Alligator mississippiensis: one gene and its partner. The protein of the gene in region 1 purifies or fractionates together with the protein of each later gene. This does not show direct contact. Links are inferred from orthologs where the notes say so. Each region holds a gene or a part of one and is shown on either strand. Other genes may lie near its edges. The genes, in order: SLC12A2 and CLGN.

Region 1 (8,475 bases):
AGTTCCGTATCTCCAAGGTGTCATTTACCTTAGCTTGCAAAAAAGAAGAATATACCCGATTATTTAGAAACAGTGAGATGTTGCTAATTTTCTCACACACACGCACACACACACACACACGTGTGTGTTATATAATAAAAAATAACACACACATTATATTTCAGTATGTATGGAAAGCCACAAAAAAGAAGAAAATTATCAATGTCTCACTGTTTCTAGATAATCAGCTTATAAGAATGATGTACGTAGTAAGGAAAGACAGGAGAAACTAAAACAGACCAATTATGAAAAACAGTTTAAGGATTTTTTATGTAGTTGATGTATTACACCTACAGCATTTCAAAGGAGCACAAAGTATTTCCATATAAATGGACTTTAATTGTAGGTTTTAACATTACATTTGTTAAAACAGGAATCGCATTCAAACCTGTTATAAACTACCCAACATTTAGCACTATGGGTAGGAAACATGTCAAGCTGAGATCTTGACACCTTCCCCCCAAAGCACAGCCTCCTAAAGGCAATAGCAAAATTTACCTGGATTCCAAAAGTAGAGAAATTGGGGGGGGGGGGGGGGGGCCAGCAGACAGGAGAGGAGGAGTGAGGGAAGTGTATCAAGATTTCATTCCTAGGAACTACTGGATATCATGCCTTCTCTTGCCTTGACATTTTTCAAACTTCAGCAATAGTTTCCACCAGACCTATGCCTCATACAATCTTGCCTGCGTGTTGTTCTCAACTCCTGCAAAGGTCTGCAGTGAAGGGCACAAACCTGCAGAATTCAGAAACTGATCAGCAATACAGGTTAAATGAACTAGCATCACAACTCAAAGAGGCATTAAACTTAAGGCAATGGAGAACCCTGCCTTAAAAGGAAGTCAGGTAAGAATTCAATTAGAAATATATAGATAAAGAGAATAGAGATAGCTATAGCTATGTGGTATGAATCAATTACCAGTACAAAGGAAAGCATTATTTCGTCTCGAGTAATTCACTATTAGAAAGACGGCTGCTAATACAGGGCACTTGAAGAATGGAAAAAGAGATTAAGAAACCTAAGACTTCCTTCCCCCACTACCCTCCATCCAAGGCATTTTAACAATACATAATGCTAACGTTGCAGTTGTGATCCAGAGCAAAAGTAGTCTTAGCTTCCAAAGCCAAGAAACATCTAGACCAGATCCATACACCAAGCATCCATTTGCCCAGAAAAAGGCACCGGGGGGACCCCATAAATGTATACTGGCTCTGACCTCTATCACAGCCAGAACAAATTTAATTCCTATGTGAATTAGAGCATCTGTTAAGCAGAGCTGCATGCTGCATGACCCTTTTAACGTCATTTGCCACCAACATGCCGGCTGCTCTAAAGCAGAGGAAGCTGGCAGCGACACAGCTCCAAGGGCTTAATGATGAATGGGAATGAGGCAAGCAAGGGACAGATGGACCACAGCAAGGCAGCCTTCTCCCTCCTCCCAGGAGCAGTCCAGAGCTCAGTAGGGCAGCACTGGCAGGAGGGGGGGTGCAGGAACCCTTGCGAGGAGGGCTGACAGGCCAGAGGAAGTTGCCTGCTCAAGCCTTCCCGCTTCCTGAGCACCTCCCCACCACCAGTCACCTGCGTGTGTATATAATGCTAATAATACAATGCAAAATTTGAGCCCAATTCCCTCTCAGCAACTCCACTCATTTCAGGGATGTTGCCCTCTGCAGCAGCACTGAGCTACAGACAAGCGTATTGAGATCCGATCTCAGGGGGGAAAAGAAAAAAAAAAAACCCCTTGGTAACTGTGAGAGCAGCAGAACAAGGAACAAGATGCCAAGGGAACCTGCAAAATCTTCTGCCGGTTCAGTAGCAGCTGCATCTGTCTGCCTTGGGGAAAGCAAGGGGCTGAACAAGACCCTGTGGGTCCCTTCCAGCCTGGAAGGGGAGGATGAGGGATGCACAATGCTGCGGTCTGTGCACCCAGCCCCATCACAGCTCCCTCCTGCCTCCCCATGTGGATCCAAGTGCCTGTCAAGACTGGGTAACTGTGAGAGCAGTAGGACAAGCAGCAAGATGCTGAGGGAAGCTGTGAAATCTTCTGCCGGTTCAGAAACGGCTGCATCTCTCTGCCTTGGGGAAAAAGCCAGTGTGTGCCTACTAGGCTGGACAAGACCATGCAAGTCCCTTCCAGCTGGAAAGGGAGGATGAGGGATGCACGAAGCCGAGTCTGCGGCCCCCATGACAGCTCCCCCCTGCCTCCCCAGGTCAGGAACTGCAGGAGCAGCAGGAAAGGAACAAGATGCAGAGGGAACCTGCAAAATCTGCCAGTTCAGCCGGGGCTGCATCTCTCTGCCTTGGGGAAAGGCAGTGCGCGCCTACCGGGCTGGACAAGACCCTGCAGGTCTCTTCCAGCCTGGAAAGGGAGGGCTAGGGATGCATGAAGCCGCAAGAGCAGCAGGACGAGGAACATGATGCCCAGGGAAGCTGCCAAGTCTTCTGCCGGCTCGGCAGTGGCTGCATCTCTCTGTCTCAAGGAAAACGAGGGGCCGGACAGGCCGCCGCTGGTCCCTTGCAGCCGGGAAGGGCAGGATGAGGGATGCACTCAGCCGGCCCCACGCCGCCTCGCCACGCGGAGGCAAGCGCCTGCCAAGCGCCCCGGCCCCGGGGCTGCCTCACCTTGTCCAGCTCGTCGTGTAGCTCGGCCAGGCTGGGCCGGATGAGCTTCTCGCCCAGCTCGGCAGCCGTGTGGCGGTAGTGGTCGATGCGGGGTACGGCGTCCATGGTGTTGTGGCCGAAGGTGCGCAGGTAGTAGGTGTTGGTGTGCGTGTCGTAGCAGTAGTGCGGGGCCCCGCCGGCGCCGCCCGACACCAGGCTGCCCTCGCTGCGCACCGTGTCGCCGCCGTTGGGGTAGCCCGGCGCCTCGGGCTCCCCCGGGCTCTCGGCCGACGGATCCACGAAGTTCACCCGGAACCGGCCCTTGGCCTCCGAGTCCTCGCTGCCCCGGCCCGGCGCCCGCCCGCCGCCGCCCTCCGCCACCAGGTCCACCTGGAAGCGGCTCTGGCTGGCGGTCGGGGCCAGCGGCCGGCCCAGAGCGTCGCCGCCCGCCGCCGCCTCATCGTGCTGCTGCTCCGCCGCCTTGTGCCGCGATGGCGCCGGCTGCTCGCCCTCCATGGCTGTGGCTGCGGCTGCTGCTCGCGAGCCCCGCGCGGCCCGGCTGCTTTAAACCGCCAACCAGCGCCCGGGGCTGGCGCCGCGCCGGGGCCGGGGCAACGCGCCGCCGCGCCCGCCTCCCGCTCCCGCCCCGCCCCGCCCCGCCGCGCTGCAGCAACGGCCGCGCCTCGCTGGGGGAGGGGCGGAGCCCGCAGGCCGCCCCAGGGCCGGGGGGGCGCGGGGAGGGGGGTGACGCCGCCTCCTGCCTTCTCCGCTGGCCGCGTTTGAAAAGTTGCCGGGTGCTTCGGGGCCCGAGATCTCGCGAGAGGAGCTGGACCGCGCGTGGCTGGGGGGAGGGATGGGGAGCTCGTGAGGAGATGCTGGGTGCGAGCCTCCTCGGGCCGGTTGAGGCTGAGGCGGGGATGGGGCACCTGTCCCTGCTTGCCTTTGCCCCTCCCCGCCCCGCCCCGGTTCTTACTGCCACCCAGCAGGCCCCATGTAGCCGGGAGCACCCGACCCTCCGGCCCGCGGGCCAGATCTGTGACAAGCGGACTCCCCTGCATGTGGGAAAGCTTGGCAGAGGGGGCAGCTGCATGCAGCAGGGTATAGTTTGGTAGGGGTTGTTGCAGCAAAGGGGGATCAGGAACAGGCCTCATCCCCCAACCCCCCTTCCACATCTGGATCTGGCCACACTGCTCCTTCTACTCCCTGTCTCCCCCCACCTCCAGATTGGAGCTGGGCTGCTTTGTCCAGATGGGAGCCAGTCCATCTTCCACTATCCAGTGTGTCCAGATCAAGGCTGTCCTTCCCTGCCCTGCCTCATCCCACCCCGACCCTGAGCATCAGTAGGAGGACCAAGATGGTCCCCCCACCCCAGCTCCATGTCAGGATTGGGGCTGTTCCACCCAAGGCGTCCAAATTAGGGCCACTTCTCCCTGCCCCCAGGCATCTGGATGAAGGATGGGGCCTCGCAGCCAGATCAGGCCCATCAGCTGGATCCAGGCCACAGAAGAATCTGGCACCGCGCATCTGGGACAGAGTGAAAAGGTTGGGCACCACTAGCCTAAACCAGTGATTCTCAACCAAGGTGCTAGGGCCCTTACAGGTGCTGCAAGATCTTTTGAAGAGTGCCCTGAGGTGTGAGGAAATAAAGCACCGGCTCAGGCTCAGTCCCTGCCTGGCTGTTCCACTGCCCATCCCCCCCCCCGCCGCAAGGAGGCAAGCACTAGAATACATTTTTTTTAATAGATGCCTTGAGTCTAATGAGGGGTGCCTCAAGTCTAAAAAGGTTGGGAACCACTGCCCTAAAACTTGCTGTTCAGAAGTTGCCTGAAAAACCATTGGAACTGGAGAAATTAGTGGAGAGGAGATGAGTCCGTACAAAGCTGAGTGTCATGCACATAGCAGACATTTGGGGATAACTACCTAAGGAGAAGAGTGCACCAGGCCTACCCTAGAGTCAGCATTGAAGATTACCTATCTTGCTTGCTTTCCTTGTCATAATAACACCAGCTCTTTCCATTTACTCCAGCACACTCCCAGTGTCCCCCTTCAGCAGCTCTCAAACTATCCCGGGCATCTGTTGGGCTTCCCTCATCTGCCTGACCCTCCCAGGCAGGTACCACTTCTTACCCTTCCACCTCCCCTGCATCACTGCGTGCTGATCATTAGCCTTCTCGTTGTCCCACGCATGGAAGGAAAGAAATATTGAAGCAATTAAGTGCAACACTTTTAAAAAGTATGCAGGTAGAAGTCCAGCAGCAGGGCAGGGGCTACCCAGTTTATTGCACCAGGTGCAATGTGTATGATTACTTGCCAGGGGGCAAGTTCCATATGTGCGCACCTGGTGCTAGGACTGGCTCTGAGAGAGCAAGTGCATTCTCTCCAGGTTAGGGTGGCATAACTGGAGCAGCTACAGGAGGCAGAGAGGTTCATAAATGCAGCTTTCAGGGACATACCTTTGCTGCAACAACCCCTGCCAAGCTAGACCCAGCTGCATGCAGCTGTCCACTCTGCCAAGCCTTCCCACCTGCAGGGGAGTCCCACCTCCACTGTAGCAAGTGCCATGCTGCTGAGGAAGATGAATGCATCAGGGATTGAGGGCATGAAGCTGGGAAGAAGAGAAACTGTCTTAGATGGGACTCACCTTCCAGCTGATGTTACAGCATCCTCTTGCACCACGGGTATTCCTCCAAGGGAGGGAACTCCACAGGATAGGAGACAGGAGTTGGTAGTAGGGGATTCAGTTATTAAGCACATAACCAGGTTTGTGACCTCCAAGAGGATTGCATGGTGACTTACCTGCCAGGTGCAAAGGTAACAGACCTCTCAAGATGTGTAGATAAACTGCTAGGGAGGGTTGGAGAAGAGCCAGTGGTCATGGTCCATGTAGGTAAGGGTAGCAGGTAGGTCCTGGAAGCTTAATTTAGTCTGCTAGGTAGGTGGTGTAACTCCAGGACCACTATGATAGCATTCTCTGAAATGCTTCCAGTGCCACATGCAGAACCAGATAGACAGGCAATGCTCCAGAGGCTCGATATATGACTGAGACAACAGTGCAGGGAAGAAGGGTTTAGGTTAATTGGGAACTGGGTGACCTTTTAGAACAGGGGGAGCCTGTACAGAAGGGATGGTCTCCATCTGAGCCAAAATGGTACCAAACTGCTGGCAAGTAACATTAAAGAGGTGGTAGAGCAGCTTTTAAACTCAACATGGGAGGAGAGCTGGCAGATGCAGAACTGCATTCAGACTGACGCATGCTACAGGGTTAACACCATAAAAAGTGGGGATAAGAAATAGGGTGAAGACAAGCACAAGTTAACTTTAGGGAATAAAAGGCGACACACAAGTAACCAGCCAGGCAACAATAAAAAGTACAGGTGATTGTATACTAATGCTAGAAGTCTAAGATCAGAGGTGGGGGAATTTGACTGCTTAGCAGTAAATAATGATATTGACATAACAGATATCTCTGAAACATGATGGAACGAGGAAAATCAATGGGATGCTGTAATATCAGGATACAGATTATACAGGAACCATAGAGTAGGTCATACTGGTAGGGAAGTGGCACTCTACATCAAGGACTGCATCAAATCAAATAGGTTAGATTTTTCACCCGATATGAGAGGGACTATAGAATCTTTGTGGATAGAAATCCTGGATTTAAATAGAAAAAAAAGTATGTCTAGGGGTATACTACTGACCCCCAGACCAAGACAGCAGTAATGAGCTGGAAATGCTAAGGGAGTTGAGCTGCTGCAACAGCAGAAAATGCAGTAATAATGGGGGGCTTCAACTAGACAAATAGACTGGGTCAGTCTAACACCTGGCCAGGATGCAGAAACCAAATTTCTTGATGTTATAAAAGACTGCTTCTTGGAACAGTTAGTACTGGAACCTAAAAGAGGAAAAAGGTAATTTTTGGGCTAGTGCTAGGTAGTGCACAGGATTTGGTGCAAAAGGCAAGTATTACTGAGATGCTTGGCAAAAGTGACCACAATGCAATTGGATTTGGCAGCCATGTAAGAAGAGAGACAAGAAAACCTACCACAGTGGCATTTAATTTTAAAAAGAGACTACAACAAAATGAGGAAGCTACTTAGCCGGAAGTTAAAAGAGGCCCCTAAAGAAGTGAAAAACTTGCAGGCAGCATGGGAACTGCTTAAGAACACCATATAGGAGGCACAAAGCAAATTCATATTACAAATCAAAGAAATGGAAAGCAAAGCAAAAGAAAGCCAGTATGGTTTTCTGGCATAGTTGCAGAGGCAATACGCAGAAAAAAGGCTTCTTTCAAAAAGTGGAAGTCAAATCCTCATGGGGAAGATAAGAAAGGGCATAAACACTGGCAAAGCAAATGTAAAACTGTAAAAGGACAAACTAAGAAAGAATTTGAGTATACAAGTTAATGGAGATGACCCAAGTTGAGGTTTCAGTAGATGAGGTCATAGAGCATATTGATAAATTAAATAGTAGCAAGTCACTAGGACCTGATGGCATTCTCCTTGCGGTCCTGAAGGAGCTCAGATCGGAAGTTGCTGAACTCCTAATTGTTGTGTGCAATTTACCACTAAAAACAACCTTGGTACCAGAGGACTGGAGGGTTACCAGCGTGAATCCCATATTTATAAAAGGTGTCAGAGGGGACACAGGGAACTACAGGCCAGTGAACTTAACTACTGTCCCTGGAAAACTGGTAGAAAAAATAATGACAGAAAGAATTGTTCAGCACATGGATGAACGTGACTTCCTGGGGAGAAATCACCATGGCGTTTTCAAAGGGAAATCATGCCTCACCAACTTACTATAGTTTTTTGAGGATGTCAGTAAGCAGTGGATTGGGATAATCGAGTTGACAATATATTTGGACTTCCAAAAAGCTTTTGACAAGGTCCCCCATCAGAGGCTCTTTAAATCACAGGATTACAGGGAATGTCCACTTGTGGATTAGAAATTGGCTCAAAGAAAGCAAAGAGTGAGTGTAAATGGTCAGGTTTCAGGATGGAAAGAAGTAAACAGTGGGGTTCCTGCGGGGGGGGGGGGTGGGGGGGGTGTCTCTGTTGGAACCAGTGCTGTTTAAGATATTCATAAATGATCTGGAAAAGGGGGTGAGTAGTGTGGTGGCGAAATTTGCTCATGACACCAAATTAAGCAAAGTGGTAAACACCAAGGTGGATGGTGAGGAACTACAAAAGAAGCTGGCATGATTGAACAAATGAGCAACGAAATGGCAGATGCAATTCAATGCAAATAATTAGAAATTGATGCACCTGGGCAAAGTAACCCAAACTATACTTACACTATGATGGACTCTACATTAGCTGTTACTACACAGAAAAGAGATCTGGGGTCATTGTGGACAATTCACTAAAAACACCGGGTCAATGTTTAGCAGCCATCAAAAAGGCAAAACAAAATGTTAGGGATTATTAAGAAGGGAATAGTAACCAAAACAGATAGTATCATTTTGCCCCTTTATAAATCCACGGTGCAGCCATACCTTGAATACTGTGCCCAGTTCTGGTCCTCACACCTCAAAAGGAATATTGGAGTACTAGAGAAGGTCCAAAGAAGGGCAACAAGGAGGATTAGTGGTATGGAGGGGCTTTCATATGACAGACTAAAGAGGGTAGGCCAGGGGTAAGCAACCCCTGGCACTGGTGCCAGAGCATGGCACATGAAGGCATTTTGCTTGGCACACATGCCTCAGGGTGGACGGTGGAGAAGAGGGCTCCACAACAAGGATCGGGCCCTTTGTAGCTCTCCTGCTCCCTGCCCCTGGCACACCAACATCTAACAAGTTGAGGTTTCAGGTGTTTTTGGCACTCTGCCCTAAAAAG
Region 2 (7,693 bases), on another chromosome or scaffold:
TGAGAAGGGCCTAGAACTAGAAGAACTGGAGCCTCCTACTCCCTTGAGAAGTGCATGAACCACTAAGCTACTGGACTAAAAAAGAAGGCAGGCCCTCCTCAGTTGTCAAACAGTTGCTTGTTGCAATTTATCTGCAACTACCTTCCAGAGACTTTGATTGAGGAAGCCTATAATCCTGTTTGAGCAGAACTGGAACAGAGCATAAAGCCCCTACAGATGTTATATTTGCTGCATATCGTATGCAAACGTTGCATGACAAATCATAACATGCCAACTGGCCACACAATATTGCAGGATACTTCTGCACCACAAGATGTTTCTGCTTCAACAGCCAACTTCTTTGTTGCCGATTCACCAATTTTATGCAAGGATAAACCTGGCACATTATAATTTGTTGTGCAATACTGTACATAACACGTGACAAAAGTAACGTCAGTCATGGGTCTAAGTGGTTAAACCACGGGGCAGACTCAGAAGGACAGTGAGTTGTAGAGAGGACAGTAGGATCTAAGGCATACAAAAAACTAGAACTCTTGGTTCCAAAATGATACCTTTTATTAGACCAACTGGAAAATGGAAAGAAAACTGTCCTTTTCTGCAAGCTTTTGGGATCAAAGTCCCTTTGTCAGGATCTGGAAAAAGTACACCCCTGAAAAGTACATGCTCCAGGAGGCAGGGTGCTTTAATTAGAATGGCTCCAAGAGCCGCTCTAATCAAAGCTCCCGGATCACAACATGCATCAGCATCTCTGTGCTTAAAATGGCAGTGAGGGCACTTCAACTAAAGCTTGTCTTAAAGCTTTAGTTAAAGCACCCCACTGCCATTTTTCCATGCGAGGACACTGATACACATGATGCTGGAGTCTACTGGAGCACGGTAATTACCACACTTCAGCAGACTCAATTAATCGAGTCTGCCCCAAACGCACTGTAATTACAACACATCAGAGCAGCCTTAATGCACATGTATAGGTGCCCTAACATTCTACACAAGCAGCCCTAAACATTATTTTTATGGTTAACTTCAGCTTTGGACGCATTATTTACCCACCTAACAGGAAGTGAAACTTGGATTTTTGTTTTAGATTACATTTATACTTACAGTAAACTTGCTCTGGCTAACAAAAGCTTTAAGAGAAAACTATGAACCTATCCAGACAACTTGACTGAACTAATCTCACCTAGATAAGAGCAAATTCTAATGGAAAGCAGGGCAACTCCTACAGTTCTCTTCTCTAGAGTGGGTCCCTAGGATACATCTATACCACCTCCAAAGCAATCCCAAGAGTATCAGTGAGAAATAAGCCATACTTACCTATGCCCAGTATATATACATGCAAGCCCATAAATTACGTAGCACAGATGCCTCAGAAATAGTCCTAAGCACAAGTCCCAGCACCATACTCAGGCTGTTTTAAGAAGGTCTAAGTGTGGCACTATGGCATATGCTCAGGGCCACTCCTGAGCCATGTATGTGACACAGTTTGTGGGCTTGGGTGCACACAGGGCAGCGACCATGCTCACTGTTAAAGCAGCACAGAAATACCATTAAACCCTAGTATCCTTCAACCCTCAGTTTACAAGACTGCTAGCATTGTCCTTTTTTAGCTGAGCAGCTAAACAAAATGTGGGCCTTGTTAATTATTCCAATGAGGTGTAGTGATTGGTAGCAGAATCAGGTTTCTTTCATGTACTTCTATTTACAAGAATGCAATCAAATCTTTTCCAAGCACAGGAAAAAAAAATCCAAACCACCAGAGCCTTCTTGCTCACAGCTCTAAAACTCTTCCAGCCTACTCCCAAGCCCACAAGACCACTCTCTAGGGGTCTCCCAGGGTTACACACAATGCCCTTCAGACTACATCCACACTTCCTCCTTCCGTCTCGGCTTATGCACCAGCTCACTCTTACTCCACCTGAGCTTCCATCCATCCACTGGCACCTTCTCTTTGTTCCCAAATTAATACCCAGGAACAGCTACTTCACTGGCATTTCCCTTTCTGAGTGCCTGTGGCAGAAACACGTGCTTCACCTTCTCTTGCTGCAATCTCCAATGAAGAATGGAGTGAAACACTATGCTCCTTGTCAAGAAAAAACATGAGCTTTACTTCAGCACTGCCTGGTCTGGCAGCCCCTCTTCATGAGGCCAGCTCTGGTCACTGGGTTTCTAAAGCTGCACCACGGAAGCCCCCAAACTAAGCACAGACAGTCAAAAAGCCCGAGGCTGAATCAATTCAACTTTGCGGCTTAGCCTAAGCTGTGTAGGTTGAACTGATAAGCAGGTGAACAGACATTCACTTTTGATTCTGGAAATGCATCCACATGCCTGCAGTGTCCCAGGCCACAGGCTGGGGGGGGGCCTAAAGCATGCCTCCCTGCTCCACTGGAGCAGACAGCTTAGGCCAATGCTAGCCCGCCCACCCTGTGAGGTGGGGTTTGTGAGGGAGGTGCAGAGCACCCCAGGATGCTGGGGGACCATGAGTTAACTTGAATCTGGATAACAACAAGGATCCAACACTCGCACAAAGTGCTGGAATGAAGCAGAGCTTCTGGGCCCACCACAGACAAGCTCATCTGGAGGGCAAGGCATCAGGAGGATGCTAGAGCCAGGGCTCCTCCTCCCTCCCCGGGGGACGGATTGTATCTGATCTCATCGCTTAGCAGCGGGGACAGGAGAAGCGATGGGCTCGAATTAACCCTCTGCACTCCCCAGCCCACGAGAGCTGCTCCTCAGCCGGGAATTAGGGGGGTCCTGCTTATGCCCCTCACGAGAAGTAGCTAGTCACTGCTGAGCGCGAAGGCTCTTCCCACTATAGGGGCGGGGGGCGGAAGCGGGGGCCGGGTCCTGCGCGAGCCCCCACCGCGGGGGGGGGCGGGCTCAGAACGCTCAGGGCCGCGGCGTTCGAACTGCCCCAACGGCCGTGCCGCACACCAGCCCCCGCTTCAGGGGGGCGGGCTCACAACGCTCTGGGCCACCCCGTTCCAACGGCTCCCAACGGTCGCACCACGTAACCCCCGCCGAAGGGGAATGGGGAGAGGGAGGGGCGGCCGCCTCCCGCTGGGATTAAGGCCTCTACGCAAACGTCCCCGTGAGGGTGGTCCTCCTGCCTCTGCCCGCGTGCCCCTTTCACACGGCGTCGCGCCCCCTCCCCCCACCTCAGCCCGGGTCCGCGCGGATTTACCGGCGAACCAGTCCCGCAAGCCGCTCACTGGCAAAGCCCGGCTGCTTTTCCTCAGCGCGAACCGCGCATGCGCCACCTGTCCAAAGCTCCGAGGGATGCTGCAGCCGAGTAGCAGGTACTCTCTGTGGCGCGCGCGCGCCTCCCCACCCGAGCCAATCAGACGACTCGGTAGGGCGAAGCCGTAGCCAATCCGCCTCCGGCACTGACAGGCCGAGCGAATCGGAACGCAGGCGCACGGGGAGGTGGGAGAACTCGCGCCAATCAAAGGGCAGCGTGGCGTCTAGCCGCGGCCAATCGCGGCTCAGTCCGCAGCTGTCAGAACGCGAGGCGTGCTGAGCGAGCTAATTGTGGGCCGGCGTCTCTGCAAGCGCAGAGATTCAGTCAAGTTCTAGGCCAGGCTTGTTCAAGCCATTTTATTTGGCCCGAGGCGGCGGCGGGGCCGCGGCGAGGCGGGCAGGGCCGGCCCCAGCCGGCAGCAAAGAGAAGGGAGCTGCTTACCCCCGCGGGGCCGGGGGGATCCGCCCCATGCGGAGGCCAAGCAGCCGCCGTTGCCACTGCCGGCCCACGCCTGCCTCGTCACCCGCCCGCTTCAAGCCAGCCCCGCTGCCCTGCCCTGCCCTGCCCTGCCCCACAGCAAGGCGGCGCCTGCTCCCCCGACGAGCTCTTCCCCCCCCCCACCGCGCTGCTGCTCTCCGGCCCGGCCGCCAGCTCGCGAGGCCCTGAGGGGGCCGCTTCTCACGTGCTGCTGGGGACTGGAGGAACCCGGCCGGGTCTGCATCGGCCAGCAGAAGCGGTGGCGGAGCCGTGTACTGCTCGGGACGGGACGAGCCTGCGCCGGTCAGTCCCGAGCGGCACACGGCTCCACCACCGCTTCTGCTGGCCGATGCAGACCTGGCCGGCCTCCTCCTTGTGGTAAAAATACAGCATAATCTATACACCTTGCTTTTGTAATTGCTTATGCACTCCGCATGTTTTCACTCTCTCTTCCACACTTATCACTAAGACAAGTAGACTAACAATTGATTTACGAATAGAACTAAAATTCTGCAGACGGAGCCAGGAACGGATGCAATAAATAACTCCTTACAAGAGATAAGCGAAGAGTGACAGGGAAAAATGTTGATGCTAAGAAATTTTACCCTGACCGAAGGATGACCAGAGGAGCTTAAGAACTGCCCCTGGGAGGGGATTTAAGATGTAAATGAGACATGTATGTAAACCGTCATAGAACATGTAACTGCTAGACATACGATGCAAGACGTAATGCTAAGTCTGCCAATAATTGCACGATACGTTGAAATCTATTGTTTACCTTGGCTATAAAAAGAAGTTGCAGACACAATTTGTGGTCGACTCTGATTTGAGCTCAGCTCCTGGGTCAATCTGTTTGCAAACAATAAATCTGAAATTGGACCTAGCCTGTGTGTGTGACTCTCTCCTGGGGTGGATTGGACAAGCCTCCAGGGGCATGAAACTAGCCGTTTGTGCAACATCCTGTCCCCAGCAGCACATGGGAAGCTGGCTTCAGCTGCATGCTGCTTTTCCTGGCCGGTGCAGACCCGGTTCTGCCCAGGCCAGTCCTGCAGCACCATATCAACCCAGGCATGGCACTGGCAGGCCAGGCAGGCCCCAGGTTAACCCTGGCCTGGCCCCTGACTTCTCCAGCACCAGGTCAACCCGGTTGTAGCCAAGCGGCTCCTGCAGCACCATGTCAACCTGGGCACGCATGCCATATCAACCAGCACCATGTCAACCTCTGCAACTTCACTGGTGTCAAAGGTCACGTGACATCACTTCCTGATATGATACCACTTCCTGTGATGTCTTTGAATCTGGCTGGCCGGCCCACTGGGTGATAAAAAGTTTGTGAGCAGCCTCACATTCAAAACCCCCTGATCTAGGCTATGAATGGGCTGGACCCGCTATCGCTCCCTGCTTGGCCCTCAGGATTTCAATGAGTCCCCCTGCTGCAGGCTGCTGCCTGGGGGAAGCTCCACCTTACACCAGCGGGGCTCAGGCCTTCTACACTGGAGGCTTCCCCTTCCCCCCCCGCCCAATCAGGCTTGGGAACTGAGCAGCCCCCAGTTCAAAAAGGAACTGGTTGAGTGCAGTGCTTACCTCCTGGGACAGGCTGGGCACTGGGTGGGGGGAGGAAGGGGAGCAGCCAGGTAGGGACTGAGCCTGAATCTGAGCCTGCAATTTTATCTTATCACCTCACACCTTGCAGCACTCTTCAAAGGACCTCACAGCACCCCTGGGTGCCCCAGCCCCCTGGTTGAGAATCACCGTACTGCATTTGAGACCATCCTCAGGACACTTGACATGTGGGCCTCTACACCTTGAGGCTCGCTAGTTCTAGCTGAGTGCTCTTTGAGAGTCTCAAAGTGACACCACTTGAGGCACAGGTTAATCCAAGCCCACAGAACAGGACAGCCGGAGACATTCAAGATACAGATGGAATATGTAATTCGTTTTGCTTATTGTATAAAAAGATTTGGAAAGCAGAGGAATTTTGTAGTGGCCTGGGGGGAGTCTGTGTGGTGGTGTGCTGAGTGCCTTGTCACAAGTACAAATGCCTTAGGTCCTGGTCTGATGTACTTGTTAGGCCAAAATGTGTTAGGGCTGTGCTTGTAGACAATAAAACTGGCCAAATCTTTGCCACCGAACTAAGCCTGTGGTCTTTCTTTAAGGCAAGATTAGTGTTGAGATCTCCTGGCTGTGACTTGCAGACACTGCAGTTCCTGAGACTTCAATACTGAGAACATATCAATAACACCCACGAGGATGACAGCAACAGCGACACCAATAACCCCAGACAACACTGATTTCTAACACTATATTTCATTTTCTTGCTTAATATTCATGAAGCTTTTGATACATTTTGTGAAACTAAGGGAATTCCCAGCCTTAAACCTACTTAGAAAATTATTTAAGACCATTAGAATAATTGATAAAAACTGTTAACAGTAAAAACCATTGTAATGATGTAACTCTAGCAAATTGCATAAAACTTCAACTAGAACAACAAATTCCAAGAGGGAAGACTTTGGGGGAGACACCAGAACATGCATCTACCCTGCATGTCTATAAATAGTTTTTAATGATGAATCAATTTAGTTGTATGACTGTTATTACCCAGAACACTGTACATGAAACATGATGGAAATCATCAGTTTAGTAAAATTCACAGTAAAGAAGAAAGTGTGATTAAAAAGAACTGAAAGCAGCAATGAAAAACAAATATAAAGTAGCTGGGGAATTCAGATATTCAAGAATCCTAGTATTCAAGCCAAAAACCCTTGTACAAGCATGCACATTAGAATAAAACTTGTGGGCAGAGCTGAACATGCAAGGTAATAGATATGGAAAAGTGAAGATACCGGGTTTTGTGGTCTCCTTTAGGGAAAAATAAGAATGAGAATATTATAATGTGCTACAGTAGTTCATCCCAGCTTCTAAAGCAAAAGGTCCTAGCATTACACAGAAGTCAGGATCTAACAAAGAAGACAAGAACAAGAGGTGTGCTTGAGATACCAGGCTATGGACAAAGTCTGTAGTCAGATGCCAAGTCAAGTCTACAGCAAGAGACTGGAATGCAGGAGAGACAAAGCAGGGTCTGGTGTCAAGGACCAGAAACCAAGGGATCCTGGCAGGAAGCAAGGCAAGGCGATGCTAACAGGCCTGGAGCACTTACAGACAGAAATCTCAGTATGGTGTGTACTAAAGGGCAGGTGCTAGAGCAGTCCCTTAAATGAGGAACTGGAGCCCTAGAGTTTGCTAAAAAAAGGTTGTCTTGCAACCCACCAATGATAGCTAGCTTGTTAAATTGAGGAACAGAGATTTAACTATTAGAAGAAAATAAGTGACACTTGCCAGTTAACTTGAATCTGGATAACAACAAGGATCCAACACTTGCACAAAGTGCTGGAATGAAGCAGAGCTTCTCGGCCCACCACAGACAAGCTCATCTGGAGGGCAAGGCATCAGGAGGATGCTAGAGCCAGGGCTCCTTCACCCTGTGAAGAAGCAGAGTGAATTAGCCCACGTGGAGGTCTGTGCTGTTGCAGGTAGGTTGCTTCCAGAGCTAACTTTTGAAGCTAGATCAGGTATCTGTACCCTATGCCATGCGCAACCTAAACATACTACTGATATATTCTGTGGGTAAGAAAAAAAAGTCCCTTCAGATAAACTGAGGATCCATATTGACCCCGAATTACTGAACAGAGCATTGAAAAGATGTCTGTCACTACTCATTATCAAAAGATTGTGGATGTATTACCCTATTTGCACAGGATAAAAGCATTGCTTGTTTTGCCATTAAGAATTAGTCTTGGCTTATTAAGATAACTGAACAATCCAACCACTTAACATCTACCACATCTTTGGGCAGGAATACCTGTAAATAGCAGCCTGACCCTTGAGATGTTTCAGTAGAGAGACTAAGATGGGTACAGAAGGGAGATCCAGGCACCAATGTTATATGTAGTGATAGTCTCACTGTAGAAGGAGGTG

What was found.
Region 2: the proteins of SLC12A2 (region 1) and CLGN purify together in Homo sapiens (co-immunoprecipitation; 3 studies listed by BioGRID and IntAct, with this or other methods). This does not show direct contact. The link is inferred for Alligator mississippiensis from reciprocal best matches to the Homo sapiens genes SLC12A2 and CLGN.

The regions. Positions count from the first base shown.
Region 1 is NC_081826.1:215,903,440-215,911,914, forward strand, and holds the start of SLC12A2 (solute carrier family 12 member 2), read right to left. Parts: upstream 3,265-8,475; 5' UTR 3,155-3,264; coding exon 2,660-3,154; intron 1-2,659. UniProt on the Homo sapiens protein: Cation-chloride cotransporter which mediates the electroneutral transport of chloride, potassium and/or sodium ions across the membrane. Plays a vital role in the regulation of ionic balance and cell volume.
Region 2 is NC_081825.1:104,596,531-104,604,223, reverse strand, and holds the start of CLGN (calmegin), read right to left. Parts: upstream 3,300-7,693; 5' UTR 3,210-3,299; exon of another isoform or gene 3,182-3,209; intron 1-3,181. UniProt on the Homo sapiens protein: Functions during spermatogenesis as a chaperone for a range of client proteins that are important for sperm adhesion onto the egg zona pellucida and for subsequent penetration of the zona pellucida.